3 linked regions of the Daphnia pulex genome follow. Each later gene encodes a partner of the first gene's protein in a complex. Links are inferred from orthologs where the notes say so. Each region holds a gene or a part of one and is shown in the gene's direction. Other genes may lie near its edges.

Region 1 (11,049 bases):
CACAAGGTCAACTGAAAAGGTAAAACCGAAATATAGGGATAATAACAAAAGGCTACGACGACGATATCTTACGTTTGACGGCGTCGCTATAACTTATCACTCGGCCAGTCTAGTCAGACAGCAAAAACCGATTGGAGAGCCAGGCGTAGGTGCGACTGCAGCCGATGTTCCTCACTCTATATGACTGCGCACGTGCGGCGGATGTTCAGCGTCGCGACGATATGGTTGAAAATGATACACATCTGTCACGTGATCTTTTGGTCGTCAAACGAGACACTAGATTGTCTTCTAGTAGTCACGGCGATGATGAGGCAAGAGAGTAATGTCTGCCCAGTTTCCTTTACTCAATTTCTTGCACTAGAGTTTTTGGTAGCAACGACCGTTGATTGGCGTACCTCTCTCGTCTAGATTTCGTGCTCCTATAAAAGTAAAAACAATTCAAGATTTTACTGCAAAACGCAACAGTTGTGTAGTGAATTTTTGCATTGGGGGAGAGACGACGTGGTATAACGGGAAGTGTACTAGAGACTCAATAAAAGTGGCCTTTGGAAGAGTTAGAGGGAGAAATGAGGGTATCCCAAAAATAGAATTACAGAAGGTATGCATCTTGCTGGCCTTGTTCCAGTATACATTAATGGCTCTGCCAGAAACAAAAAAGCCTTTCAGCATCTCAAATCATTACACAACTTACTAGCTGTAGTAGAATTTACAGATAAAATAATGAAAGCTACTGCTATGTAATTTTCTATCTTATGAGAGAGCCAATTCCTTTCTTTGTATTCTTTATTACCTAATCTGTTCCTAGAAATTGATACATGAATTGTGGTCGGTCAACATGTACCAGGCTATAGTAAAAAGAAAACACACTCATCGAATAATTATGTAAGAGTAAAATACTTGTTTTGTGATGTGAAGATGGTTGCTCAATCACCTATCCCAGCATGAACTGTTACTCAAGTTGCATATATCCTTTCACATTAAGAAGAATTTAGAGTTTCACAAAAGTCAATAACCGTGGAAATTGTAGCCAACCATTTTTCAAACCAAATATACGAACTACGACACTCGACCATGTGTTTTTGTTTTATCTGCAAGACTGCACTGAATGCACCTACTTCCAGTTTCATCATCTCCCTCCCAATAATAAATAAAGTAGAAGATGGATGATTTATCGCCAAGACCCGAAATGAAAAATAAAAACTAGGGGTTACGTCAACAAATTCAATTTAGTCAAAATAAACTGAGGTTCCAACGGTTCAAATCACTCGAATCTTGGATGGAATAATAATCAAAAAGTTGTCTGCTACATCAAAAGAGGCGCCATTTACACCGTTGCAATAGCAACCAAAAATTGATCTTTGGAATTCCCTTTTTTTGACATTTCCGTTTCTGCTGTAGCCTCTACAAATTGTCCACGTCGACCAAGGGGGGTTTGTTAAAAGAAAAAATAAACAAACCAATTTGACTCTTGGGAAAAACGATGGTTGGTAGTGTTTCGCGAAATCCTTACATTTTTGGATAAATCGTTTCTTGATTGTATTTCTAGGTATTCATAAATTGTTTTTCTTATTTGAGGTTCGTGTTTGAGCTGGTCATAGTCCTTTGTATACAATAACAGTATACAATTTAAGTGATAAAACATCATCTTAGTTGACTGTTGATGAAATCAATTACAAGAAAGCACCATGGCTTACCACACATTACGCCAAGAGTATATGTTGATGCCTCCAGTAACTCGGGCATACACCACTGTTTGCTTGCTCACTTCAATTGCAGTGGTAAGTAACACTCGAAACTTTGAAAGGGACTCAGTAATCGACTGCAAAACATTTCCTTTTCAGCAACTGGATGTGGTGTCACCTTTTCAACTGTATTTCAATCCTTTGCTCATCACTCAAAAGTTTGAGGTAATAGGATTGGTTTGCTTTTGTATGGTAGCCAAATCATGTAATCTTGTATTTGCAGATATGGAGGCTACTGACTCCATTCTTCTTTTTTGGGACATTCAGCTTCAATTTTCTGTTCAACATGATTTTTACCTATCGCTATTGTAGAATGTTGGAGGAGGGTTCATTCAGAGGTAGAACAGCTGATTTTGTTTACATGTTCATATTTGGCTGCATCACAACAGTGGTAATTATGAAAATTTGCATGAATTCCTGTTTCAAGTTTTTTTAACTATTTGCTTTTCTCATGTTTTTAGATATGTGCTTGGTTTGTAAATTTATTGTTCCTTGGACATTCGCTCACCACGATGTTCGTCTATATTTGGGCTCGGAGAAATCCTTACGTTAGGATGAATTTCTTCGGCCTTCTACCTTTTCGAGTAAATAGGACAAAGCAACTGCAAAATTCAAAACACCCTGTGCGAAAATTAACCGATAATTTTTTTCTCTATCCTGACATTTTTATAGGCCCCATATTTGCCTTGGGTTCTCGTGGCTTTTTCAGTTCTTTTAGGCAATAGCGTATTGGTGGACATTCTCGGGATCGCCATCGGTCACTTGTATTTCTTCCTGGAAGATGTGTTTCCTAATCAGCCTGGAGGCAGAAGACTCTTGGCCACGCCTCGTTTACTGTATGCAACAATTTGGCATTCTCGAAAAGAAAAACATCAAAGATCGGTCAAGGGGTTCACGGTTTCTTTTCTTTTCCCCCCCTAGGAAACTTTTGTTCGACACGCACACTGAAGACCCTCTTTACAATCCGGCTCCTGACGAGCGTCCTGGGGGTTTCGATTGGGGCGGTGCTGGTGCTCCGGGAGTGGCAGACGCAGTCGCCGACCAGCCGAGAGAAAACGAAAATCAGTGAGGAAAAGAAAGAAAAAAAAGAGAAACAAACACAATCGTCTTTTTGAAAAATTACTAAATGGCAAAAGAAAATACATGGAAATTTGTTTAATATACAGTTGTCGATGTTCGCCCTCATTATTCCTTCTACACAGTGGCCCGGTTTTCTTTCGCTTACCAATGACCGACTAGCATTGACATACTGCTTTGTTGCAACGTTTACAAATATCCAGCGCTTTCCCCTTTCTCCTTTTATGGCCATCTTTTAACCGTGTCAAGTTTACACGCAATCAACCGTACTCGTAGTGTCCATAGTGCAGTTCTTCGCCCATCCAACTCGAACATTTTGGGAACACACAATCAAAATCGGAGCGCACTAGATAATGAATTAATATTCTATTGATGTGAATAAACAAGACTATTCCCTTTTTCGCTAGCTCAGAGATGAAGGGGAGGCGGACCGACCATAAGTCAATCTGAGATAACCGATTGCGAATTCTAGTGAAAAGGTTCTTTGAACGTCCAAGTTTGCACCGAGCGCACAGCGATTTTGTTTCAAGCCAACAAATAGGAAGGAGCAGTTGTCAACCTTGAAAATGATACATTCCCATCTGAAGCATAAATGTCCAAAAAACTCGATTGCATTACGACGCCTTGTTTGTAGTGAATGCGCCAAAGATTTCCAAATACACAACTTGAAGGTCGCAAATCTGTCAAACTAACAAGACTTGCTATTTGTTTGGAGTCATTTGATTTTCTAATCCTGACCTGCTACAGAGATGATGCTGCATTGGGAAAGGCTTATGCTACAGCGAGTTCACTGCCCTGATCACACACGCAGTCCTCAATTTTGTTTTGTTTCTTCAAGGATCTTTTGAACTGCTTAAAGATGTTTAGTCCACCAGATAGTGGAAGCAGATACTGGAGTTGGGAATGTTATAGTCTAGAATTGAAGAGATAAGTAGAAATCAAACCTGCACGATGACGAAAGAAATCAAATAAATTTAGTTGAAATTGACTCTTGTATACATAAATCTAATTAAGAAACAGACAACTTAGGCATTATTTTTTCTTTCCTTCTCCTCAAGTAGTCTGAGATATTCCCGTTCCTCTTTCTCCTTCATTTGGCGAATGGTGTCCTCAAACATCTTTTTGTTCACCCTGCTTTCGGCAGGGTACATTTCTCTCCTCAGATTGATCATCCAATCTTCAAAATACTCTGCCTGGTTAAAGTAATAGAAACAACCAACTGGGAAAATCATGTACATCCCCATTTTGGCTGCTTCCAGTTGCCAGTTTCCCATGTTTGGATTGTGAAACCTGGACAAGAAAGATGAAAAATAATTTTCCAGCCATCGATCCTACAAGTTTTTTCACAGCTTACTTGCTCTAATATAATCGCCAAGTATTTTATTCACAAAACAAGTTTGTACGTGTACCACACAGCACATGTAATACTGTGACGGGAGAAAGTCACGAATGAAAACAGCTGAGTTGTTCTGCTAGAGTCGTTGCCATGGCGCCCAGTTTGAAATGCCCAAAACAATCGGCTGTCATTTCGTTCATAGCCAAAAGCCATCGTCGAAAGCGATGAAATAATGGGAAGACAATCAGTTCAAAATGTTGTGGATTCTTTCAGCGATAGAATATTTCCAGGTCTGTCGGATATACCTCAAGATTTCTCATTCGTATCGGGTCAAAGTGACATAGGTAACTTCAATTCTTCTCAAATCATTCAAGTTCTATCTATTGCGTCTCGTACTTTATGCTAAACGTTTGATTGTTTTATGGAGCAAAGTTTATGATGTCCAATCAAGTTTGGTACTGCAAATGTCACTATACTTCAACTTGGTCTACTACCCAGTGTGGCTGGCGATCATCCTGGCATCATTTGTGGCAAAGGTATTTACATAATACGAAGAAAAAGTCATTGTCTTACATTTCACTCATCATCTCTTGCTACATTTGGCAGCACCAATGTTTTGGCTGGTTCTCGTATCTCCTTCTTGGAATTGGAGTCTCTGCCTGCTGTGTGACGGAAGCCACCAGGATCTACTTGGGCATGTCTGGCAACCTGAGCGAGCAAGTGGCAGAGCTGTCCACCTTCTGGTTCACCACACTCCTGGTCCAGCTGCCACTTGTGACAATCATCCTGATCGTGGCACTCAGCCTGAGCCAGATCCTGGAGATTGTCGCCTTGTCCATCTCCAGTCTCCTGATGGCAGTCCAGCTGTGTGTCTCGTTCGCCACACTTCGTAACGTGGCCCGCCTTCGCCAATTTTAGAAACCTTGAGCCAGGCGAGAGAGAAACTATACCTCTACGTCTCTCTCTCTCTCTCTCTTACTTTAATTTCCACCTCGTGTCGACAGGTTTTTCTTTCGTTATAAAAGCGCATCAGGGTTCTGTGTGAGACGACGAAAAAGAATCAGATAGACAGAGAGAGAGATGAAAATGAAAATGAAAAAGAGAGAGAGAGAACTCTTTTGGTAGTATCTATATGCACGCGAACCGCTCGCTGGAATTTTGTTGGGGTTTTTTCTTCTTTTTTCTGGCGAGTGACCAGCGACCTTGACATGGCGGAATGAAACACACACACACACAGACTCCGACTACTACGACTACTACCACACTAAACTATACTCAACAAATAAGCAGCAACCAAATAAGTGAAAGGAGGTCCGATGAGTCAGAGAATCTCACAGGATCGCCACAGAAGAAGAAGAAGAAGAAGAACATCCAAATGGTGTTTGGACAGAAAAACGAAGATAGGGAGAGGGTGTGAAAAGATATCGTCTCAAGAGCTTGTTATTTCCCCTTTTTGTTTTCTGTTTTGTGTCGCACACAAATAAAACAATTCGACAGGTCATCGGCATCACTACACTCGACGAGGTCACCACGAGTTTTGGGGGAAATCTTTTTTTCGTCTTATACAAGAAGAAGAAGAAGAATCTGAAGGACTCGGAGACGTATACCAGCAGCAGCAGCAGCTCGATGCCTCTGACCTGTTGATGTTATACCTTGACCTGCTTTTCTCCCCTTCTGTCGTATATAACCATTTTTTTTCTTCTTCTTCTTCTTCTTCTTTTGTCGCCCCTTTTAATTCGTTTAATCAACACGATTAGCAATTCCAAAACATTTAGATCTACAGGTGTAATTGATTGATGGATCAGGCCGGAGCACAGACACACTCACCTGAGACATTTTGGTGGGGAAATTCCCCAATTTAATACACACAAAATTGCGAAAATTGATTATTTTTGTCATTGATTGAGTAATACATTTTTTTTTTAAGGGGGTGATCACCTTGCTGGGCGATTTGACGGCCGGCCGGCCAGTGAACTTGGTGTCCGCGAGGTCGTGACTTTTTTTCGAAATTTCCCACGGGGGTTTTGATATTTCTAATTCTTTCATGTATAGGAAATTCCAAAATGTCCAAACGATGACTGTGCAGCATGCACACACTATCAGAGTTCTCCCCCTTTCCCATTCACCTTGTCGGACGTTTATCCACTTGCGAAATTAACAAGTCCTTTAATTAGAAGGGTGTGGGAGGAACGTGGGAAAAGAAATGAAAAAGAAAATGGTCGTTGAGGTGGGCGGAAACGAGTTGTGACGTGTTCCAACACGTCATTTTGGACCGAAATCTTTTCGTCAATTTACCTGAAAAAAAAGGTCAGTCCATTAAACTGGCGAAACGTCATCAGCCTACGTGACTGATGACACAAATGAATTTTATTTCATTGGAATCGCCAATTGATTTTAAGTTGAAATCGCATAGGACAATTTCATCTGAGAGTCAACTTTTATTTCTCTTCTCTTATTCTGACTTTTATTTTTTCCAAATTGCGATTCGAGTTTATTCCCAGTTGTGGGAATAATTTGGCCATTGTCATTTTAAAGTCAAATGCCAAAAGTCGTAAACTGTTTCATTATAAATGTCTAAACGTTACGTTTTAAAAACCTTGTGTGACGGCCGTGTGTGTACGCATAAACAAAGTTCAACAGAACTTATTCCCACACGGGCCGTTTTTATGTGTACATTGTGAACTTGAATGTCATTGAAAAACAACTGCCAGGAGATGAAATCTTCCGATGAAGCTGGGCCATTTCAATTCAACGACATCAAACTGTCCAAATGCTCATAGAAACAAAAATATTACGCAACATTTTTTCGTAATTCACCAGAGATGATTTTTAGACTCAAAAAGTCAACAAATAATATTCGTTAATTCACTGCAACTGGCGAATTCAGTAAAACGAAGATAAACTGCTAATTACTGATAAAAATTCACAAAAAAAATGGAAAATTACATAAGTGTTATCGGAATTCACCAGGGTATTTACTAACAACAACACACGTGAGTATATTTAGACCAGCGAGAAATAGTGGTCAAGTTATCCTACGCCAGATAATTCATTTGGGACACTGTACGTCATTTGTGTTCAGAGTTGTTGGGGGGGGGCTATCTTTAAAGGCTGCATAGCAGCGATACACAAATAAATACTATACCCCATAAAGTTGTTGACGTAGAGACTCACAATTCCCCGTAGGTAATTATATATTGGACTAAAATATATATTTAGAAATGGTTTTTTTTTTCTTTCTTAAAAAAATGAATGACGCAACGGAGGCCGAAATCCCCGATGCAGTTAACTATAAAATGTCCTATAATATCTATTCTATTGGTAGGCTATATACCTAGTGTCAATTTTTAGACGATATCTCTGGTCAGAAATATCTCGGGAAATATAATGCAATTTCCATTGCGGTTGTTCCCAGAAATATTTTACAAAATATTTTTTTAAAAAATTAAGCGGACAAATTCGAAATGTGGAAAAAATTTCAATTTTTTTTTTTTTTTTTAATTATTTAAAAAAAATAGTCCCTGATTTTTAGGACAAATTTTCAATCTCTTTCTCGAGTCAAACAGAAAAAAAATGTTCGTCGACCCGATGCCCTAGCGTGTCCTTAAAATTCCGATCCAAAATTCCCAGTAAAAGAAAAAAAAGAAAAAATCGCGACGACGACGTTGGGAAATTTTGGTCGTTTCCAGTTGGAAACAGTCCAGCCCCGGAAAAAGAAAAGGAAAAAAAAAACTGAATTCAGTTGGCATTAAAAATTCACCAAGGTCCGGCCAAAACACACACAGAGGCGCCTGTAATAAAAAGAAAAAGAAAAATGGATGAAATTGGCGCACTAAAGGTCATCTGTGCCGTCCTATTCTCCGTCGTTTTGTATTGTCTTTATTCGATGCTGTCATCCGCCAACGGATCGGCCCGTCGCAATCACCTGGGAGGCTTCCAGCTCTTCAGTTTCGTCCTCCCCAAAGGATCCTTCCCATGCAACAGCAGCGTAAATAATTCAATTTCATTTCCTACTCAAATTCAATACGTTCAATATGATTCAACTTTTAAAAAAATGTACAAATCAGGTGGCCGTACTGTGATTGAGGGACGTCCGATCGAAGATGACGGCCTACAAACTGAATCAGTCGTCCGGGAAAATAAATCAAATGCTATAAATGCGGGACAATAATAAAAAAAAACAAAAAAAAATGAAATTCAAATGAAGCGGGAGAGAGAGAGGCCTACGTGACGTTCATAAATCTACCCGAAAATTCCGAAAAACTGGGGAAATAAATATATATATATAACTTCTGCTATACAGACTGGGGAAATAAATATCTCGTGTGTATGGAGCGAGTGCGTTCAACCCGGGACCCGACAGACATGCCAGAGACCTTGGGGATATATAAAGTATGCACGCGTGAGCCCTTTATAGCGGGAGAAGAGCGCCGAGCCGGCCGGTGCTGCTGCTGGGTTGTCCGAGATATTTAAATTGGGGGCGATGATCGTGCAGCCAGCTAGCGAGCGGGAAAAATATAAAAGATAAAAACAAAACAAAAACAAAAATCTTTTTGGGGCTAAACAAGAATATTTTAAAAAAGAAAAAGGGTTGTCGAGCCCCGATATGGAATTCACGTTCATTTGATCAACATTTATAAGAGCCCTGTATTATAATATATACGGGAGTAGTATTCTACACATCTAGCACGTACCAAAAAAATCTATGCATTCACATCCCCTTAATTTTATTTTATTTTATTTTTCTCAGAAATAAGTTTTTAAAAAAATTTCTCTGACTTCAGATTTATTACACTACTCACGCTCCGGCAAATGTTTCTTTGATATTCAATTCTAATATGTACGTACAAGTTTTCATTGAATATGAAATTCAAAAGGAGCCAGGACAAGTCGTAGTACAGGGCGATGATTTTTTTGAGGGCACGTTTCGAGCACACGTGTCGGTCGTCCAAGAAAAGCCGACTAGCGTTCGTTCGGGAATCCCGAAATGTTTGTAGGAAAATTCACGTACCTCCGTTTGGGGCTGTTGTTTGTTTCCCTCACGTTTTTGAAGCGCTGGTCCCGGCGCCTGCTGTTGCCTATGCATCTCCCAAGGTTGTCGGCCATGTGAGCTGGGCCCACTCTGTATAGCCGGACAGACAGACGGACGGACGGACGGTCGGTCGTTATTATTTGGTTCGTTCCGTCCCGGAGTTTAGGCCATCGACATAGTAGATCTGGGCGATGCCAACGCCACATCACGTCCGCTACCAAAACATAAAATCAAATAAAAAAAGGGTTGATCAACCCTGATATATGGGCATCTTCGTTTCACATTTTCATATAGCTACAGGGCGATTTAACCCGTTTCGTTCTCTCCCCCTTGGAAAAAGAAAAAAAGGGAGGGCCGTTGAACGCGTGAATGTAGGCCCAATACGGTCCCGGCTGTTTCTAACAGTCCCGTGTGATTTGTATCTGTTCTATAATTCTATGGAAGTAGTAGTCGATTTACATATTGCCTCACATTTCATCTGATCTTTTAAGACGAGTTGATATCATTTCCAGAAAATGTTTTTTGTCCACTCTCTCTCTCTCTTAGGAGTACAGGTGAACCGGCCGGAGCGGTCACAAACCCCAAACGGCCGTGATGTGTCAAGGACGAAACGTAATAATAATAATAATAATCTTCTTCTGCTGCTGCTGCTGGTCAAATGTCGCTCGCTATATCAAGCGTGAATTCCCCCAGCCGGTGAACGAACCCATTTTCTCTCTTCTTCTCCGATTCAAACTTTATTCCAGAACATTCGAGTGAAATGTTCAAGGTGATTTTTTTCTTCTTTTTAATCTTAACTGGGATTTCATCAGGGAATTCTCTACAAAAAGGATTGATTCTCTGTCTCCCAGGCGATTCAACTGCTGGGATATGGCATCAAGTGTAAATGGACAATTTGACTGGACGGTGATTGGTTCAAATGATGTAGGTCACGAATATGTGAATTTGGTTCACGACGGGATATTCCCACCGAGTTTCACCGACGTCTGAAAATTCACTTGGAAAGATATTCCAAGAAATGTTCCGCTGGCAACTGTCGAATTTACTGGGAAATTAATGAGAAACGAATTACTGGGCCAAGTGGCCAAAGTCCCTCATTGGAAACCGATGATGCACGTCGGAGAAATAATCTCCTCAGAAACTACAGCAGAGAAGAAATAATAACCGTAATTCAATTATCTACTATAATAGGCTAGCCCTGCCCCCCCCCTCCGTATAGCGTCCCGAACACACGACGTCCGGCCAACATTGTCCAGCATCGTTATTGCGACTTGTATAGCGCTATAGTCCTCTGTTCGTTCCGCCATATGGATAATTGGAGCCGGCTCTGCGACCAGATGAACACATTCCACACATTTGATTTTTATTAAGACCAAACCCTGATGAGTTGGTAATTCTTTACAGAGGAACGTGCGTATTTTTGTTCTAAAAAATTTCTGGGAATCCAATCACCTGTTCGTCGAAGGCAATCTAAATTCAAACGACCACCAATTGTTATGGCTCTACGGACATAACAGCGCCAACCCAAAATTAGCCAATACAAAATATAACGCCCATAGTCACAAATTCTCTGGGTAATATGATGATGACTAGATAGTTCTGATTCTATTTGTGGGTTTTTTTCTAAAAAAATTTTGGGGGAAAATTGTTTCAATTAGACGAAAAATAAAAACATTTCGTCGTAATAGACAAACTTGTCACACAAGAGACTATTGTGCAAATAATTGTTTTATCCGGAATAATTCCGGTTCGCGGAAATGGCGACATGTGGAATCACTCCCACCGTCACACACGTGTGGCGTCACTTTTCATCTGAAATTCAAACGAAAATTTCATTTTAATTCGATTTCATCATGTTTCAA
Region 2 (11,205 bases), on another chromosome or scaffold:
ACTGATCATCAATACTTGTCATCACTCCAAAATTGAAGTGGTCCTGTTTGCATTATTTAAACGTACCCTTCATTTATGAAAAGCATTTGTTTTTATTTCGGCAGTATATTATCTACAAAAAAAAAACTAGCACGACAAAATCAAACGAATCAAATGCACAGCTGTGATCGAGTTGTTCTGTAGAGAAAGAGGAAAGAGACGTGCATGGCAACTTTGAATTTCAAAAAATTAGAAAAAAAAAACTTTAAAGAAAAGGCCGAAACTCATGGTTAGGATGGGGAAGAAGTGAAGAATATATTGACCGTTGTATATGCAGAAAAAAGAATTTTAGATTTACAAAATTTAGAATGAGAAACCTCCTTCAGGGGTTTGAAATGGCTGGGTGTTGAATTCGTAATTGCCACTCTGCGATATCGATGGCGCCAACTCAGAATCTTCATCCCTCTGTCAAAAGTAAAAAAAAAAAAACAAACAAAAAACCAATTAAATCAAAATGAAAAAAAAAATTAAAAAAAAAAATAGTTTTCTAAAATCTCAGTAACGGTCAAGTTGTCAACACAAATACTTTGAATGTGAACAATTATGGTAAACTGGTAATCATGAAAAAAAAAAGGAAAATAAGCCATAATATAAAATAATTTACGTCAGTGGAGAAATACTGCTTCAGAACAGCCAGCGACTTGAGAGAAATATCAACATTGTTGTGGATAACCAAAACTTCGATTAAATCCAAGCCACCACACACTCTTACGTCAAGAGAAACTTTCTCCAGCTCGCCCATTTTCTTGGCAGCCGCCAAAATATTAGCTAAGCAATCCAATACGACCACGATAGTCTTGGGTTTCTTGGTCTCCAGCAAAGTGCACAGCGGAGCAACGGCACCAAACTGACACAACAAAGCGATCTGCTCGACATTGCCACCTGAAATTTAAAAGACAGCATTTAAAAATTAATCAACACCAGTAAAACTTAAATAAATTACCCATAGTGATGTTGGTAATGGCCAAAGCTGCTGCCTTTTGGCATTTGAAGTCGCCATTGCCCAGCACGTCCACTAACGGACGAATAACGTTGTTGGTAATGAGAGCTTGAATCTGGGTGGCGTTGCCTGCAGCAATCTTCGCCACGGTCCGGGCAGCCCGTTTGACGATTTCCAAATCGGAATGAGCAAGTAACTTGGCCAGCGCCGGGCAGGCACCAGCAGCCAGGACGGAATCGGTTTGACTATCATTGGCTGTGACGATGTTGGCGATTATCGACAGAGCCATGGAGATTACAAAATCATCGTTTAATCTATTTTTGTCCAACAAAGAAATGAGCCGAGGAACGACTCCAGTGTCGACAACATCTTGGATTCGTTCGTCGTGACCATCAGCAGAGAGATTAGATAGAGCCATGGAAGCGCAGACGAGAATATCGCTGTCGTTGGAGTTGAGAAGGTGGGCCAGGGCGGGAATAAGCTGTCGGACTGCCGGGACACTGAGTGGACTGTCCTCGTATCCACCACACAAGTTGGTCAAGGTCACAGTGACTTCTTGCAACAATTTAACCTAATAATGAAGTCAATTATTATTTGTTTCTAAAGGTTAATTAAAAAATTTATTTACTGGAGTGTCGGGTTTATTAATCAAGGATACCAATGGCTTAATAATGCCTTCCTCAATTAAAAAATCTCTTATCTCTGCTCCCTGATTGGCAAAGTTACCCAGAACCCAGGCAGCATGTTCCACTACAACTGGATGAGGTGAATCTAACAAATGAATCATCCCAGCAACAGCCCCAGCGCTGACAAAAGCTTCGATCTCATCAGATATGTCTTCGCCTGAATAAGCAATGTAGCCGATTACCATCAGCGTGGGGTAAATTACGGTCTCTTCTTTGTGATAGAATAGCTCAACGAGCCGAGGGACGACTCCGGCGTTGATAACTTCTTTCTTTATTTCTTTCGGGCCATCAGTGAGATGAGAGAGAGCCATGCAAGCGGTGGCGAGAATCTCCTCGTCATTTGCGTGGATTAGGTGGTACAGGGCAGGAAGAAGCTGTCGGACGGCAAGGACACTCCCACCCAAATAGCGACACAAGTTGGACAAAGTCGAAGTGACGCTACGCAATAATGTAGCCTAATATTGAAATCGGTTAATAATAAATGTTCACCAAGGTTTCAAAAATAAACTTACTGAAGAGTTAGATTTGACCAAACTGAGCATCGCCTTTATAAATCCTTGCTCGATTAAGTAATCTCTTAACTTTGGTCCGTCTTTCGCAATAATGCCGAGCGCCCGGACAGCTTGCTCGGCCGTAACTGGATGAGGTGAACTCAACATTGACATGAAACCAGCAATAGCCCCAGCACTGACCACAGCTTGGACCTGAAAAGATCTGCATAGCACAATGGTGGTGAGAGTCCTGGCTGACTCTAACTGAAGTTCAGCGCTAAAACAAAAATGTCATGAAGAAATGTTTGAATAAGACCAATTTAAAGACACAACATACTTTTTGACACGACTAAGGAATTCTACTAGCTTGGGAACAACATTAGCATTGATGAGGATACGAATGAGTGCTGGATTGTGTTCCTCAGATAGGAATTTACGTATAGCATTGGTTGCTGTAATCTCCTTGTTTACATCACCACTGTTGATACCTACAGTATAAAGATTCATATGAGAATATATGTTACATAGAAAAAAAACTATACCATTAACTATGTCCTCAATGCTCTTCGCTGCAGCCATGCATTTTAGTACTTCAAGAGGGCTGAGGTCCTCATCGTAGACTTCAAGGATGTATTGGTTGTATCTATTATACAGCATGTGATCTTCCTTCTTGACTTCCTGCAAATTAACATTCATCTCATACATGAAAGATGAACAATTTGTTTAATTTAATAAATGACATTTGACTATCTAAAGCTTATTACCTCATATCCTCTGCAATTATGATTGATGTCCTTCAACAGGGTGGGATTTGCTTCAGTTGTCATTTTGATAGTTGATGTTTTGTCCAATTCTCTTGAATCACGGAAGTGACAAACACATGGGAACAGTTAAACCAACGACTGAGACAATGCTGCTGAGACTGAAAACATGAAAACTGAAAAGTTTTTTAAATACGCCATTTTTACATTTACTGATGTTGATGTTGCCAAATAAAAATATTCAGATGAAATTACAAAGACGTCATCTAGTGTGAGATCAATGAAGACTTGGATGTAGGTGCTAGGTGGCGTCGGTGATGTAAATTTTGACGCCTGTCTAGGTGATCTCTAAGCTTTTTTGCGTGTACTAACAAATTGGCAATTATCAAACAAATTGTAAACAACTAAGAAAAACAAATTATTTAATTATTATATTTTTTTAAAGAATAGGTAAGGGTAATATTTTAAATCATGTTTTTTGTTGTGAAGGTCTGTCACCGCGTCAGAGAGTCTGACTCTGAGCCCGAGTATTACCAGCTGTTTAACACGTCAGACTTGAAGCGCTTTCATTCGGTCTGTCAAAATGCTTGACCGAAGGTTCGTCGTAAAACTCTGCAGTTTTCTGCTCTTGGTAGGAATTTTTTTGACACTTCCACAGTTTTGCCATTCTCACTCTCACGACCATCACGGACATTCACATGATCATCATGGACACTCGCACGATCATGTAGAAGAGCGGCCTTCATTTAAGTATTCCAAGGAAGCGAATATTCCGAAACCTCCTCCACCCCCAGCCAAGAAAATAGAAAAGGAACATCACCATGGGCATTCGCACGAACATCACGGACACTCACATGATCATGATGAACACTTACATGATCATCATCATGACCATCACACAGAAAATGTTGAAGCTCCCAAAAGGACAACTGCTGCCTTATGGACAGAAGCCATTGGTTCCACTCTAATCATTAGTGTAGCACCGTTCATTGTGCTTTTTTTCATTCCCATTGACAGCAGCCCTGAACGACAGCCCTTGTTAAAAGTTTTACTTAGCTTTGCTTCCGGTGGACTTCTTGGTGATGCTTTCCTACATTTGATTCCGCATGCATTGATGGCTCATTCTGAAGATGAGGAACCTCATTCGCATTCTCATGGACATTCTCATGGAGAGGGTCATTCTCATGGGCACGACATGACTGTTGGACTTTGGGTTCTCTGCGGCATTATTGCCTTCCTTGCTGTTGAAAAGTTTGTTAGAATTCTTAAAGGTGGCCAAGGTCACAGCCACAGTCATGCTGAACCCAAGAAGGATAAAACAACTGATGCAAAAGATGCGAAAGACGGAAAAGCCAAAGAAAAGAAGGAAAAGAAAACCAAGGAGGTTGCCAAACCCTCTGGTAAATATTTAGTTTATTTTTTGGTAGTATGTCATTAAATCTGTTGTATTATTCCATTTCTTTAGGAGACATCAAGGTAGCTGGATATTTGAACCTGGCTGCGGATTTTACCCACAACTTCACTGATGGCTTGGCTATTGGTGCGTCATTTTTGGCTGGAAGAAGTACAGGAATCGTAACAACAGTCACAGTTTTGTTGCACGAAGTTCCCCACGAGATCGGGGATTTCGCCATTCTCATTCAGTCAGGCTGTGATCGCAAAAAAGTAATTTCAAACGCTCCGACAATCTCAAAGTAACAGGAATCTTAATTCTCCACTTTCTATTGGACAGGCTATCTTTTTGCAGCTTATTACAGCAGTGGGAGCTCTTACTGGATGTGCAGTTTCTTTATTAGCAGAAGGAATCGGTGCTGCTGCTACTGCCTGGATCCTTCCGTTCACAGCCGGTGGATTCATTTACATTGCCACCGTTTCTGTCATTCCTGAGCTTTTAGAAAACAGCAAATTCTCACAAACTTTAATGGAAATCGCTGCCTTGTTAGCTGGTGTCTATATGATGGTTTTGATAGCCGAATATGAATGAAAAATTGAGATACAAATTGTTTCTATCTAAATCCCATCTGGCAGGGCTAGACGATGGATTTTAACTTTCATTTCTACCACTTCGAACCCATTGTCTAGCCTGCATTATGCCTTGTAATTGTTTTGTCACCCGAGCAAGATACTTAATAAAGGTATAAAATAAATTTCACGATTCTATTATATTTTTTCTTATTTTTAATTTTTAAAATTTAGCTTTTTATTGAACTTTAACTGAGCAAACAACGCTGGGAGGGTAAGATGAGCCTATAAGTCTACTTGGTTACTATTCAATCAAAGGTGGTTTATTCATTGAAATTGCGTTATCAGTGAAAGGCGACAACTGTAAATAAAAACCATATAGGAAATAGAACAATGTTGGCTATTGTGTGTAGTTTGTGCGGTAACTGATACCAGATTGAGCAATTCCCTTTGACTGGGCGCCGAGACGAGTCTACAAAATTTTGACTTTCACTTATTCTCTTTATTATTTTGATGACTTATTCATCATACAAGTTAACTCATTCATTTCATTACTGAATAGAAAGATACAATCGCTAAAATGCAGAAAAATTGAATAATGCCCCCATTTATTTCGCTACGTAGTCATAGGGGCGGCGGCATATATTAGACGTAACCATGGCAACGAGTCAGCCCGACAATCGAAACAAACGAGCCAGCAGTCGGTGTATATTGTTGTGATGTAGAGAATTCTTAACGTTTTTTTCCAGTCAAGCACATCTTAATTTAGAATGACATCGGTAGCAACTTCAAATGGACCCGTCACATCTACTCCTCTGATAGCAACCAGCTTTTATTATTCCGTCCAAGGCCAAATCCGGCACGGAGAATTCCCGCTCAATTCCCAACTTTACGTCAAAACTTGCTATCACCACGGAGCTGACTGGATCTTCTGCCACGTAACTAGATACACAGTCAACTTTGTTTGTTTTTTTTTTTATTGTAGAAAAATGACTTTGCAGCTCTTCGTTTGACGCACAGGGTATTGAAGAAGGGTTAAGTCAGCTAGCCATTCAAAAGTCATCTGGGGGCCGAGAATTGGTGTGGAATTTTCCTTTACAATCGTCGTGGAAGAGCACGAATCCCCACGGATGGCCTAGAATGATCGTCAGTCTTTATGGACCCGACGAGCTGGGTAACGATGACGTCGCATACGGCTATGGTTCCACCGTTTTGCCCATCTGTGCTGGGCATTACACAAGAACACTGGCTATCTATCGGCCGCAGTCACAATCTCTTCTGCACAAATGGACCAGTTGGTTTACCGGGCGTCGTCCTGAATTGATTGATCCCAAAACTATTGCCCTCAACGAAGGCCGTGACGGTAATACTCCACCAAGTTATTATTCAATTATATAACTTTATTTCAAAAGTTGATTCAATTTGTTTTCTCTCGTATAGTTCTCCGAATGGAAACTCTGGGCTACGTCACGGTCGAATTCCACACCACTTTTAAAGATTTCCAAAGTTTAGGCTACGATTCATCAATCAGTGGACCGGAAAAAGTATCATCCACTTTGCCTATTTTTTAAGACAAAATCAATTATAAATTTACAAAATAAATGAACACGGCTACAGGGATATGAGCAACACTTTGAAATGAGTGTATTTCTTTATTTTAATTTTGTTTTCAACTAAGTAGACGACACCATTAATGGTGGGTGGCGGGGGAGGTTAAAGACATCAAAGAGCGAATGATTCTCTTAAATGACGAGATTCCGCGGGAGTCATTTTACAATTCAAAAGACGGCCAAAAATCAGGGGAGAAAAGAAGAAACACGAATGAAATCGTAGTTTGATGTTTAAAAAAAAAAAATTTTGAATTTTTTAGCCCGTCCCAGCTGTGAAAAGAGACGGAAATTCTCAAAAGTTCGCCAGCAGCGGCAGCAGCTTTTGTGTGTTGTTATACATAATACAAAAAAGGGGGGGTGGAAGATTCAATTAATGACAGCGGATAGACGAAGAAATATGGAACGGGTGACATGTATAACAAACAATCAAAAATTTAGTTTCCTCCCCTCAATAATTGAATGGCATTTTTTCTTCAAAATTTCTTTTTTTTTTACGAGGGAATAAGAATAAACACTTATCGAGATTCGATTACTCCGAGCTTTAAAAAAACAACAAAAGAGATTGACTCTTTTCTGTTTGGTTTGAGAAGGTATTGAAAAAGTATTGATTGAATCATATTATAAAGAGAGAGAGAGATTTCATCAACAACAACAACAACAACAAAGACTTTTTGCTTCCTCCTCAATTGCTCATCAAAAGTACCGAACCGTGAGTAAGTAAGAGAGAGAGAAAGGGAAGAATTGAAAATCCCTTACTATACTGGGCTTTGGTCTGATGATGACGACGAAGAAGAAAAAAGTTTGAAACAGCGGCCCAAGTCCCCACCCAAAAAGATAGACAGGGAGTTCAACCAGAGACAAGAGAGAAACGTACGTGTTTCGAATGCTCAAACACGCCTTTATATCCTGTTATACACATATAAAGTAGGAGCAAATGCACATGTCATCACACGTTTAAAGAGACAAATTGCCAAGAAAAATCACATAAAAGGGGGGGGGGGCCGGGGGCGAGGAGTGCATCCATGTGCAAGTCGGGACTTTTTTTGTTGTTTTGTTGAAGAGATGAGAGGAGAGATGAAACTCTGAAACTCATGAATAATGTACAAACACGTTCACTCTTACATACACACACACGCGCGATCGCTCCGCCGAGGATTGTATACACACACACACACACAACATTTGACGTCTGTGTGCGCGCGCAGATGCGCGGCAACACGACGACACGCGAAATGGAAAAAAAGAACAAGTGGAGGAAAACAATCAGTACTTCCGCTTCCCCTCCGTCATCAATCCAGCGACGAAAAACAACAACTCGAAATGGAAGCAGCAGCCGGGGGGGAGAGAATGGAGGATAGACGTCATTCGGGACGTTGATGGAATCGAGGACGAGATCATCAAAGCTTTTCACTTATCGCTGCAATCAAAAGACGAGAATCATTCAGAATCCATCATCAACTTGAAGAGAGTAGACACACAGCTGCTCTCTCTCGAGAGGCTGAGAGGACTGACTTTTTATCAATAAAATACTCACGCTGGTCCTGGATAGTAATACGGCGGAGGTCTCTCGTAGTCGGCGGCGGATGGAGCGGACGGGGTTCCGCCTCCCGGAGTTCCAGCGGACGGCGATGTGGCAGTAGCAGCGGCGGCAGCAGCGTGAGTGGGAGATGCCACGTAACGGGGAACACTTCCGTCGCCCCAGGCTCTTGGAGCTGGATCTTGAAAGCGGCCGGGTGTCTTTCCATTGCGTTCCGACGGGGCCACTACGGCCGTTGAAGAGTTCACTCCGCCGCCACCACTCGAAGCCGATGAAGTGACGCCGATACGATTGCTGGCACTCCCGTTACCCGTCCTGGCCTGATGCTGCGAGATGCTGTAATCGTCTTCGTAAGCGCCTCCGTAAACGTGGCCGTATGCGTGACCCGATCGGGTGTTGCTCGGGACTGGGATGCCTCTACGATCTCGACTTTTTTTGGGGGAAAGAAATGGAAATTTTTTCGTTAAACATGGAATTTTCAATTCAGATGTTGGAGAAATCTCTTTGAACGTAAAGGGACAAACCAGAAACATAAACAGAAAAGGAAAAAAGACCAAAACATTTCTTTTGTTTTAAGAAGAAGAGAAAGAAAGGAAAGACAGAAAAAGACAAGTATATTGAGACAAATACACAGTACGTGCAAAACGTTCTAATATCCAGCCTTTCAAAATGCATGCAGTCAAGTTAATTGAATCAACACGAAGAATACGGAGAAGAAAAAAAAAATCAAAAGAGATGAAGACAGCCATCAAGTCTTACTTGTTTAAGGCCAATGGAATGTTGTCCCGGTCGGCATAAGCATCATACAAGTACTCTCTGAAGAAATATATCGGAAGGAAAAAGTGTTGTGATTTCCGGAATGGTATGAAAAGAATAAAAAAAAAAATAAAAAAGAAGAGAAAAATAGCGGAAACAACCCCCGGAAGAAAAAAAAAAATCATCGTTCAATATTTTTTCACTTGAAAAGAGACAAGCAAAATAGCCAGACCACCACCAACCAACCAACCAACCAACGCCATCGAATAAAATAAAGAAATGATTTACACGCCATCACCAATTTTTTTGTTAGAGGGAGGGGTTGAAAAAAAAATAAAATACTACCAAGAACGAGAGAAATACCCGATGATAAATAAAATATCCAATGATATAAAAAGAGCTGAAATTCATGCTAGAAAGAGAGTAAAGCTTTGGCACCAATTCAACCGAATGACGAAAGGATGTCATAGTTATTCTCTCTCTCTCTCTTCAAACAGGGAGGAATGTTTCTTTTCTCTTTGATATGCATCGCCCAATAAAAAGATATCCAGTCAGGAAATGGCCTTAAATAATCGTAAAATCAAAAAAATAACCCAAAAAAAGAAGAAAGAAAAAAAAAAGAGATGTTCCTTTTTCGGGTATATGAGAGGGGCTTTTACCGCCTCGGCATTTTTTTGTTTTCCTTCCCATTAACACGCTCTTACCTCTCGACAATCGAACCCGGATAAGGATCCGTCTTCCTGTAGAGGGAGGCTAGCACCATAGCCAAAACGACGCAGGGTAGAAACAAGAGGCAGCACCATCCAACGCTGGCCCAGAATCCATTCTATATATAAGTCGAGAAACAACAAATCGATCAACAATGAATCACTAAACTGGAAGAAAAAAAGGAGGAAAACTTTGCTCTTCTCAAATAGAAGAAGAAAAAACAATAAAGTATACAAGTCCAGCACATTTTTCCAATAGCGCTGTCGAATGTGTTATTCCTAACCTATTCATCACAACTCAAGTAGGGAATTGGAAAGAGAGGAAAAAAACGCGCACTACCAAACTTTTGAAACGAAATCAATAAGTCAAAAAACCCAACGGATTTACAAAAAAGAAACAAGTAAAGGACTAAGGGGAGCGAGAACAAAGAATCCAATTTTTTAAAAGCACACACACAAAAAAGAAGCAACTTTAATCCCGGGGCGGGATACAGCCGCAGAGAGAGAGAAAACTTACAAAAGGCCAGAAGATTTGTTGGCAGATCACGGCTGATGTAGTATTGTAGGCCTGCGAGAGCGGCCAACATTTGCCGACTTTAAAGAGGACGTGGTCGGTAACCCGCTGGACGTATTGGTCGATGAGTCGCTCGCACTCTTTGGCAAATTCAACCGCCAACTGCATATAAATCAATCCATCTTTTGTGTTAGATATAATAATTTATAAAAGGGAAGAGAGAGATGGAGCGGAGAGATCGATACATCAATTTGTCTCGGATCGATCAACTCGCTGTCGTTCCCACCAGCGTGAAAGATTTTCTTTTCAAATTTTTTATTTTATGATTATTATATATACCTTAGACAATTGCTCGGGCCCTTTATTCTCGAGAAAGGTCTGCGCGGATTCAGCCTGGCCAATTAGCATTTCAATAGCCTCCGACAAGCTAGATTGATTGAAGCGGACACGTTCTTCCAAATTGGCGGCCGCCTTGCGCAGTCGCTGGGCTGCTTCTTTCATCGGAATCAATTCAGACTTTTGTAGTCGCGACAGGAAGATGGCATTGTCCCATAGAGTATTGGCAGCCTAATATATAAAGTAATACGTTACGTGTCGTCGCTCAAGGCGACAACGAATAATAACACTTTAGCCGACTTACATTTGGTTCGAATTGCTGTACTTGAACGGCCGTGTTGTTCAGTATGGCCGCCATTTCCTGGAGGTTGACCGACGTGATGTTCTGTTCCAACTGTAAATCAAATTCACAACATTCTATTATCCAATCTAAATAGATGTATAGCATCAAGCGTAACTTACAAGGATCGAATAGGCCGTAAAGTTGACGCGCATCAAGTCTGAGGCGGCGAAATCTCTTAATTGCTGTTTGGCTTCGACGGACAACAAGTTGACTCCATTAAATCGAATGTTGCTGGTAAGGCGGCGGACTTCAGACTCGATGTTCAAGCGACGGGACGGGTCGCCCAGCGAAGAAACGTTCAGCACGCGTTCCAGCTTCAACATTTGGTAAAGTGTCTTATTCTGGTGGCACTCCCTAATGAAGTGAAACGACAAGGAGGGTTAAGGTTTGTTATTATATTTGTCAAGCGTTCCTTTTTGGCCGAAGCGTATAACGCCCCCCGACCAGACACAAAAGCGGCACACGCAATTCTTGTGGTGGTTTACACACACACACACACACACGTACTTGACGATATTGGAGA
Region 3 (9,913 bases), on another chromosome or scaffold:
GAGACTGAGCCGATAGAGCAGAAGAGGGAGAGAAAACAGCTGAGGCTGTTGCAGGTGTGGCCTAGCCATATTCCCCCCCACTGAACGAAGGGGAAATCGCCGACCTTCAAACAAAAAAACTAAAGTAAAATACAGAGAATCACTCCTCCAACCTAGCTAGCATGTCAAGAATAAGAAACCGGTTAGGATACTAATAAGAAAACCGCGGACAAAGAAGGCACTCGCCACTTTCCTCTCTCTCTCTAGACCATATGGACACTTCGACTGATTTAAATAGCTCCTCCTACCTTGGACCATTTACATTGGGTTACATGATCACCAGGGACATAATTATCGGGCAGAGAATAGAGCGAGCCATCCGCTCCACTTTCGACATCGTCAGCAGTTTGCAAAATCAGTTTAGAAATTTGTTGATTACTCTCTATGACGACGTGGTCATTCTCTTCAGTTTCTCTTTACGGTCGCAACACTCTCCTGACACATTGTGTTTTCATTTTCAAAACGCAAAAGGTATGGAGGGAGAATCAGAATATTCTATTTGGTTTAGGCCTGCGACTGGAACAAGGTTTGCATCTCCTTTTGGACATCTCTGATGCACAAGAGCAGCTGCTGAATAACAATGACTCTGAACAAAATCACACAGCCTCTGGCTACGAAAACAGTTGGTGTGACCGTTTTAAGCACACACACTGTGCCAGCCATGAAATACCACAGAATTCTTTGGGATAAAGAGATATGAAGCAAGCTGTGGGCAATTCTTTCCTAAATACATTTATGGCATTGCAACCTGTGCTTGATAAAAGGACCGAGCTGCTGCTGAGACTGCAAGCGAGTTTTAGAAGAATTCCAGAGATGCTGGTTCCTAAGTAATTAAGTCTGCTCAGTCATCCAGAGTATTTCACAAGGAAAATTCTTGCACATAATTGTTAATATACGAAACACTTTTGGTACTCGGCTAGCCAGTTTAATGATGGTTGACAAGGGGGAAAAACAGTAGAGTTCAGCAGCAAAGTTTGGTGTTGTCAGGGTTATCTGTCACACGATTGTAAGCCAAGCTACGGGACCGGCGTACAGGACACATAGATTTGAACTATTTACCTGGTAAAGAACAGAGAAGATGATAAAATGGTAAGCCACTTCAAAACAAAACAGAAGCCGTTGAAGTGAGAACCAAATTATTACATGTTACAGAACTTTACACCTGACGAAGCAAACAGAGAGCAGCCATAGGCCATAGTGGACACTTATGACAAAGTCCAAACTAACACCGGTAGATGGCTTATTTTGCATCCCAACAATGCTGCGGCAATGCAGCGGTTCCTTTGAAAGCAAAAATGACAAAATATTTATCGAATGAATCTAATCTAGTATCCATTTATTGACAATCCATTAAAACGAAAACGATCCAGATAAGCTCTATATTTTTCAAAGACACGAATATATTATCAATCGATGCTGTTGATATAAATAATATCTTAAGTCACACCAAAATGTAACGTAACGTATCAATTAAAAAAAAAGTTACCATTGAAATGGAATGTTTCAATATTCGCAAACACAGCTAGCTAAACGAAAAAAATTATAAAAAGATGGACAAACTGTAATAATATTTGATTAATGAGAATTTTTGTTAAAGTTGATAATAATATGCTGATGGTAATCATGGTCCCCACAACGATACGAGACAATACTAATTGATACATTCTTGTGGCAGGGTCATGGTTCCTGTACGCAGCGAACTTATGCAGTGCTACTTAACACATTCCTCAGGCAGGACTGTTGGAAATGAGTAATAAGTGATGTCATTCGGTAATTTGGATGATGGAGTCGTATTCCGGATTGGCAAAGAAACATTATTACTACGAAAAAACCGGGGTCAAGGAGTGCGCACAAAAGTTAGAAATTCTTCGCGTGTCTTGGAGTCATCACGGAATCCGCCCAACATGGCGGAAGTGACTGTCTTGGCGTTGATCTTCTGAACGCCCCGCATGACCATACACATGTGTCTGCAAAATGAGCACAACAATAAAAGGAGATCAATGAATCATCCAATCAATTGTGCTGTAACAAATGATGAATTAACAATGTTCAAATATTTACGTTGCTTCTACTACAACGCCGACTCCGTGGGGCGTTACCGCCTCACACACGGCCAGTGCAATTTGTTTGGTCAACCTCTCCTGGACTTGTAAGCGACGACTGTAGATCTCCACAATCCTGTTTTGGAAAAAAACAAAAAGAAAAACCTGTTATATTTTATTTCATTCAAAATTAGATATTCAAATGAACAGCAAACCTGGCCAATTTGGACAGTCCAAGAACTTTGCCGTTGGGCAAATAACCGATGGACACTTTACCGATGAACGGTACCAAATGATGTTCGCACATGGAAAACATTTCAATGTCTTTGACCACGACCATTTCGTCGTGGTTTTCATCAAAAATGGCATCGTTCAAAACCTCTGTCAAATGAAAATAATAACAAATGACTTGAGAGTTTAATAAGATAGGCGGCGCCAGCTGTCAAACTGTCACGTAGGCAATGATTATGAACAAAGACATTCAGCCCCACCAAACGAGACAGTGAAATGAAAAAAAAAAATGAAACTAAGACGAAAAAAAAGTCGGTTAAGTGACACGCGAAACGAAAAGGACAATTCCTAACTAAGCTGCTTTTCATCATCTACCCCCGCACGATATCGATCGCGTGCCAGCAATCTGGTGAAAGTTAGACGCGTCACGTACTGCGAGGACCGTCTATCTAGCGACAAGGAATTTTTCTTGGAGGGGCTCGTGCTCAACAGGCAGCAATCAGGAAGAATGTTCGCAGAAGTCGAAGAATGGGACCAATCACTCCTACGAGAATAGCAAGTCAAACGAATATCCCTTTAAGGCTGCTCATCTTAAATCGCGGAGAAAATCATTTCGGGAGGGGGTCTTGTGCCGGACGGGATGGAAACAGTAAACCATAAAACAGCACTAATAAAAAAAAGGGGATTGTTGACGGCCGGCTCATCATCCCGGCGTGCGGGAATGAAAGCGCTTTCACAGCCGAGTAGAATGGAAGATGCCTTTAAGCGCTGCCCTAGTAATCAACAACGGCCCGTCATTTAATTACAGACATCTAACGGGAAAGAAACGTTTCTTCAGAGATTGGACGAGGAGAAAAGAAAAGAAAGAAATCTGCAAGACAAGATTGATTGGCATGAATGATGTCTTGGAATAACCTTCTAGCGTCTGTTCATATCCTTTTGTGAAAAAGAGGAAAGCTTTGGCCGCTCTCTCGGGCGTTTTCAGCAGCCCTTGGCGACATGGGTCCTCCCCAACATCGGACAGCAAGGAACGATACGACTCCACCATTGACGGTAACATGTCCTCGCGATTCAGACGTGGAGAACTCCGCAGATTATCGACATCTAATAAAAAAGAAAAGAAATAAACACAAAAATATGTTTTACAATAATCATCATTTTTATTTTGACTTGTAATTGACGTCATGTAAAAGTAGGATGCTGGGCCTTGATTAGAAACGTAATAAGATCCAAGTCGTTGAATTCCCCATAGGTCCCGTAATTTAATTTGCTACATCATTCTGGCAAAAAATTTGGGCTATAGTTATCAGCAGGTTTCTGATGAAATTAGATTTTCCCGGAGAAAGCTGAACCTCGGTTGATTTCATTCGATGTCCCAGAACTGAATACATATGTATCGATCGTCAACCGTCTCGAATTTTCATGCTTAGCATATCAGACGAGGAGCAAAGTACATTGTCTTGTCAAAAATGAGACCAGATATTTGTGGGGTATTCCTTTATATGTGCGATCTAGGTATTACCACGATCAGTTGTCACACACGACACACACACAACTCTTTGAACCTCATTTTCTAAATCTCGACTAGACATCTCGTGGAGTTCGGACCAAATTTGAAAGCTTTTTATTCGCATTTAAGGCTTTCACATAGATTACGAACCGAGCCCAGGGCGTTTCTACGCGACACATTTGAAAGAATGAATGGAAAAAAAACCAGCTTAAACCTCAACAGCATTTGTCTTAAACTCAAAGTAGAGGAAGGAAAGTGGAAACTAACCGATTGTCCGTAGTCCATTAGTGATGGATTTACACTCGGGATCATCTCCGTTTGTGACAGCCGCTCCAGCTACTGGCTTACTGCCTTTGAAAGCTTCCATGTTAGTAGTATCAGATTGATTGATCTAAAGATTGAAAATTGAAAAAAAAAAAGATTACAAATAAATCTTGCTATTTTAGTATTTTTCCTATTCAAACAGTAAAATGGAAAAAAAAACGGGAAATTTAACAATGGAAAAGTCATTTTCTTGATTCTGTACCTAATCTTTTTTTGAGAAATAATATATATATATATTTTTAAACTAAATGTCCAGCTGCCTGTTGGTTCTGCCACTACTGGTGCTGTTGCTCCGGAGACTGTGAAGGGACTGAACCTCTCTTCTGCCGACCTTCTTTATATAGTGCGTAGGGCGCACGCCGAGAAGCAAAGCAACAATGCTCTCGTTTCATATTCGGGTTACCCAATAACGCCGCAAGCTTATATAACACTCAATCAGTCCGCATTTGATAGATCTCGTTTAATAGAAAGTGAACAGCAACCAAAAAAATAGGTGATTAAGGTGTAGCTAGAGCAAATTAGATAAAAAGTGTCGAGGAAAGTTTGGCGGGAAAAAACGCTAAATTTGATGCAAGTGCATTGAACTGCAGTTCCGAATAAGTGAACGCCTCACATATAGGGAACCCTGTCACGTAGACCAAGAACATTGGTATCCTCTTCCTTTATCGTCTCGCTGTATGCAATTATCAGATTTTTTTTTTCCCCCGGCCAAAAATGTCAATCGAATATACGAAATATATTGAGGAGCGCGGGGGCAGCAGCGCGAAAGACTTTAACAAGAATTCAATCGCCCATAGAGAGTGCCTTGATGAATCTTTGATGAAAATGCCATTTATTTTCCACTCCCGACCCACCCAAGCCGACGGCGGGACTTGATGCATCTACGGATCGATTGCTTCTGTGAGAGAGTAGATTGGATCAAACGACTCGAACGCTAAAAGCTGATCTCATGTTCATTCATCGAGCGTTGAGAACTGCAACACGGTGCCCTCAAGGGGCACTGTAGAAGGTTTGAATCGATCTACTTTCCCCCCCTCCCCACCCACGATCCATTCAACTTATGGGGCAAGTTGCGCAACAAGATTTATCTATCGGTTGTTTTTACTATCAGCTTGTGAATAATGCCCATCAAAAATTGTTTGCGTATGTGCAGCACCGACGACACAATATACTGTACAAACTACAAACTGATGATCGATGGCCACACTTTGGACGTTCAATCAATTACATTAACAGATTTCATCAGAATCCATCAACATTGATTGGATATGAAATAAGTGACAATAATTTCAAATAGCATTTCAAATTACACAAAGTTCCATAGATCAATCGCTATAAAAAAATTACTAAAATTATAAGCCATTAAAGCCAAACTTGTACAAATTTATGGTTAATTGGTTATATAGAGCAAAACTTGTACAAGTTTATGGTTATATAGAGCAAAACTTGTACAAGTTTGGCTAATAAAACTATTGCTTGTGATGAAGTGATGCAAATATTGAAATGACACCTGCCTTTTAAATCGAGCAAGGTTGGAGACAGATCTGCTACTGTTGAAAGACTAGGTCAAGGCTTCCATACCATCCACATGGAAACTGCAAATATTTCAACATAAAATAGATTATAATATTTTTGAAAGTAAAATTGTGCAACAAAATCCAAATGGTTGAAACAAATATATATACTTACTTGAGAGATTGTGACGGTTCAATGAACATGTGTGCCAATTTAAACTTGCAATGAAGTGAAATAAAGATCTTTGAAAGCCAGGAAACTTTAAAAGTTAGCCAACACACAAAAAAGATCTTGTTAATATCCAAACAAAAATATTCTGAGAAATTTGTAGGAAAAAAAAACTGGTCCAACTTTTAAACTCTCAATTCAGTACAACGAACGCCACTAGTTATTTCTAGGTTGAAACTAATACTACTATTACTGTTCTCGCTTTATTGAGGGTTCTACATGTAATAAGATAAGATCAAAATCTTTGTTGGATAAGTTATACAAAAGGAAAACCGGATTCAAATCGTGTCTCTTAAAAAAACAACAAAACTATCTTGACAAACAAGCAGACGACTTTGCCATTGTCATAGTAACTAGATCACCCATGGCAACCTTTTGTTTGTTTTCTTTTCGAGTAGTTGGCGTCTCTCTCATATTAGTAGTGGGATGGAAAAAGGGATATGGCAGAACTACATTTAATCGGGCAAATCATCGGCGGAACAGAGTTTTCCGAGAAATCAATTTGCTGTCGCTGGCAATTATCTTCAGGTAGGTGCCAATCGGCTTTGACGTGCGCTTTCTCTCTTTAAATGTGATCGGGCTCGTTAACGTTTTGAATTGTGAAACATCACAGGTGAAAATTGGCGTGTTCTAGAAGGAGCCACTGAAGGCCAGACGCAACTTGACACACCACAAATCGGTTCTGTGAGCAGCTGGAATCATCCACTGGACGTGCACTGGGCTACTCGAGGTCTTCAAGGCTGGCCGCAAATTCACCTACAGATTTACCACCTGGACGCTTACTCACGAACCAATTTGATAGGCTACGCATCTGCATCCATTCCTACACGTCCCGGCATCCACTACATCGACGCTCCGGCCTGGAGACCTTTAGGTTTTTATTTTTTCTTCGTTCCCTTTGTAAAAAGTAAAACCTGTCCGTTTAGGAGTTCAGAGTGATCAATTCTGGTTTTTTAAAAGGTACATTCACTGAGGAGTTGATGCGTCATTTCATTGGCGGTGGAGTCGAGTTGGCTGACGCAGAGCGAATCCAAAACGGAGCCGATCGATCCCGTTTGAGAACTGAAGCCACCGGAAGAGTCTACTTGGAAATAGGATTAGTCTTCCGCGATTTCAAAAAGTTTGGCATCGAGTACTAGACGTCAAAAGAAAATGGCCAAGTTACCCACCCTTCAGCTGCTATTCGTGATTCTACAATTTGCCCTGCTCATCTCCAAAACTTTCGTCTTTACCCAGTCCGCGACGCAAAGTACAGCAGTCGATCAATCTGAAAGTAATAACCAAACCGACTTGAATCGAAAAAACCAGTCGAGCACCGATTCGACGACGGCGGCGACACCTATGTCAGAGAATTTAACCAATTCCTTATCAACAGCAGATATAAATCTAGATGAGAATATTTTCCTTTATCTCAACACCGAGTCGTCGTCGGAATCCATTCCGACAACGACCGTCGCTCCCGAACAACCGGAATCGGATCCGTTCGATTACAATTTGTTCTTCTGCACTTGCGATTTGATTGGCGGAGAGTGTGACGTCAACTGCTGCTGCGATCCCGACTGCAGCCAGGACGACCTCCGCCTATTAAATGGCTGCTGGTCGCCGCCCAGTTCGTATTTCGACCGTTACTATTGCTCGCCGGATCCTGATCGTTACGGACTCGTATGGAACAATACGCCGGAATTCCGCGTCCAGTGGAGTTCTCGCAGCGGAATGTTCTGCATCGTCACAGACAACGTCCCTAAAAAGAGATTGTTCGAAGATCAAGCTCCCGTTACCGAAGATGAGCTTTTCAAGCACATCTCGCCCAAATTGTCCGGCAGATGGAACGATCCGGAGAGCCAAGAACCCAGTGCCGGATTGGAACAATGGATTTATCAGCCGTACTACAAGCAAGGGTCGCCCATCTTCACTCTCCATATCAACGGGATCGTTAGCGTCTTGAGTAATTGCCTGAAATTCATTTTTTTTTAAATTGAATTATTGATGCGAATTTGTTTTAATTGCAATTTCATTTGTCAGATTTACCGCGTTCGCTCAATAGCGCTTCGTGCAACACGGCCCAAACGGTCCATTTCCTGGAATCTGATAACGATTACCAGTGCAGTCTGCCGGGCGAGGATCGATGCCGTCCAACGATTCGTCTTGAAGAATGGCTGGCCAATTTAGCTGTCTTCCGGCTTCCGTCTTATTCGGTCTCTTTCAACGGGAACGGCAATAGCAGCGCCCGATGGGGCGACATGGACAAGTTGGCGCCGGTGGTTGTTAGAATCTGCGAGAACTCTTATTCCGAATGCAGATCGGATCTTCCAGCACCTGAGCCCAGCTGTCGGAATTCGCTGACCGCCGTGACGTTGCGCATTACTCACAACGGGACAGAAGGCATCCGCTCCGTTTTGGCGGATCTGCTCTACACGTCGGCGTCGGCGGGACCGGTCCGTTTCCAAACGATCCATCAATCACTGGCCGAAATGAACCGACCGAGTGGCGGTGCGAATAATCCGCTGAGAACACGGTCGGGAAACCCTGGCTACCTGACGGGCAAACCCCTTCTGGTTGCCAAATTGAACTCGTCCAGCGGGGAAGGAGCTTACCAAACGCTGGACGTCTTCCCCGGCACGCCCAAAGCCCGGCTGATCCGATTTGGAGAGGACAGTTACCACGCTTTCCGTATGAATGGGATCAAGATGGACAACCGGACTCAATGGTGTGCAAACTGGAGCCACTTCGTCCTGGAATCTTTCTGGGGTCCGCAATTGCAACTGCTTCGCTTGGGGGCTTTCGGCAACGTCGAGTTGAACGAGACGGAAGTCTCCGCCCTGTGGCTGGCCATCAGGATCCAGACGGAAGAGCTGAGCTGCTTCGATTCGCTCATCCACGGCCAACTGGTCGTCGCCTACGCCAAATCGGGGTCGTACGACCAACCGCAGAACAAACTGCTGGGCGCTGGGTTGACGCTGAGGTCGTCCGGTGCGGATTGCCTCGTCGAATCGTCCAACAGGTGCTCCCTCCAGCTGAGTCAAACCGTTTCGTTCGTCATGTCGGATTCTCCCACGTTCATGGTTCTGCCTCAACCGCCCCGTTGGAAAATCCAGTTACCTCACGATTTCTTTTATCCCTTTCTTTTGTCCTCGGCCGGAAGCGTATTATTAAGTCCGTCCATCACGCTTCCTCTATTCCTCGTCGTCGTGTTTTATGGCCGTTAGATGGCGTTCACTGTCTCCTATTTTGGAAAAATAAAAAGCGGAGAATTTCTTATCAATTGACTTTTTCGACCGCTAGATGGCGTCTAGGGTTACAAATAACAAATAATAACAATAATGCTGGCAAAAAGATAGGAACCGAAGTGAAGCCATGAAAGAGAAGAGAGAGGATCACTAAAGTATTAAAAAAGAAAAGATAATAATAAAAGAAAAAAAAAGAAAACAGGTTTAAATTTATAATGGAAATAGTAGAAGTCGAGAGTCGCAAGTTCTTCTGCATAAAAGGATGATATCGCGTGACAAGAAAAACGAGTAACATAGTATTATTATAACATTCCGAAACAGGAAAAAGAGTGAAAACTTTTTTTTTTCCTTGGCTAGCGCACAGGATCATCGCATCCGATATATCGACGGGAGGATTACGCGCTAGCGCGGCGACTCTGAAAAAGTCAAAACAACAACAACAACATCCACCGGGGCAGACAGCGGAAAAGAAAAAAAGACACACAAAAAGGACGGCGACTTCAACCGTCGAGGAAAGTGCGAAGCCAAAAAACCACACCCACCCAAACACAGAGAAATATAAGGAGGTACTATACTCCTACTACTATACGTTCGACTATACGATTATATCCAAGTCTGATCAGAACGACGATAGAGATACAGGATCCCCCCTCCCGTCTGTTCATATTTGGAAAATGCCACAGCAGAGTTGAACGAAAAAAAGGTGAACTTTCGGGCCGGTTCACGGAGGAACATGAACCGACAGTGGGTGCGGACGGTCGGAATTTGTTGGGGAGGGCATGTACCTACACACATTT

The links.
Region 2: transmembrane protein 17B-like (region 1) and B9 domain-containing protein 1-like share a complex: the UniProt entries of both Homo sapiens proteins name them as parts of the tectonic-like complex. The link is inferred for Daphnia pulex from reciprocal best matches to the Homo sapiens genes TMEM17 and B9D1.
Region 3: transmembrane protein 17B-like (region 1) and B9 domain-containing protein 2-like share a complex: the UniProt entries of both Homo sapiens proteins name them as parts of the tectonic-like complex. The link is inferred for Daphnia pulex from reciprocal best matches to the Homo sapiens genes TMEM17 and B9D2.

The regions. Positions count from the first base shown.
Region 1 is NC_060027.1:835,362-846,410, forward strand, and holds transmembrane protein 17B-like, read left to right. Parts: upstream 1-4,363; 5' UTR 4,364-4,387; coding exon 4,388-4,499; intron 4,500-4,587; coding exon 4,588-4,691; intron 4,692-4,761; coding exon 4,762-5,073; 3' UTR 5,074-6,041; downstream 6,042-11,049. Other genes in the region: derlin-2-like, read left to right, coding at 1,686-1,778, 1,842-1,907, 1,966-2,133, 2,204-2,326, 2,415-2,578, 2,664-2,811. UniProt on the Homo sapiens protein: Transmembrane component of the tectonic-like complex, a complex localized at the transition zone of primary cilia and acting as a barrier that prevents diffusion of transmembrane proteins between the cilia and plasma membranes.
Region 2 is NC_060017.1:7,402,172-7,413,376, reverse strand, and holds B9 domain-containing protein 1-like, read left to right. Parts: upstream 1-5,182; 5' UTR 5,183-5,649; coding exon 5,650-5,817; intron 5,818-5,899; coding exon 5,900-6,242; intron 6,243-6,319; coding exon 6,320-6,450; 3' UTR 6,451-7,308; downstream 7,309-11,205. Other genes in the region: importin subunit alpha-1-like, read right to left, coding at 343-444, 644-921, 983-1,550, 1,608-2,120, 2,178-2,433, 2,494-2,644, 2,699-2,852, 2,921-2,983; protein catecholamines up-like, read left to right, coding at 3,501-4,317, 4,383-4,582, 4,650-4,901; prominin-like protein, read right to left, coding at 7,897-7,906, 8,024-8,455, 8,786-8,842, 9,487-9,608, 10,007-10,165, 10,343-10,570, 10,644-10,733, 10,802-11,036 and 1 more. UniProt on the Homo sapiens protein: Component of the tectonic-like complex, a complex localized at the transition zone of primary cilia and acting as a barrier that prevents diffusion of transmembrane proteins between the cilia and plasma membranes.
Region 3 is NC_060024.1:10,634,103-10,644,015, forward strand, and holds B9 domain-containing protein 2-like, read left to right. Parts: upstream 1-6,288; 5' UTR 6,289-6,329; coding exon 6,330-6,417; intron 6,418-6,502; coding exon 6,503-6,763; intron 6,764-6,849; coding exon 6,850-7,028; downstream 7,029-9,913. Other genes in the region: GTP cyclohydrolase 1-like, read right to left, coding at 1,877-2,006, 2,101-2,217, 2,297-2,462, 3,228-3,416, 4,090-4,189; tectonic-3-like, read left to right, coding at 7,042-7,834, 7,912-9,095. UniProt on the Homo sapiens protein: Component of the tectonic-like complex, a complex localized at the transition zone of primary cilia and acting as a barrier that prevents diffusion of transmembrane proteins between the cilia and plasma membranes.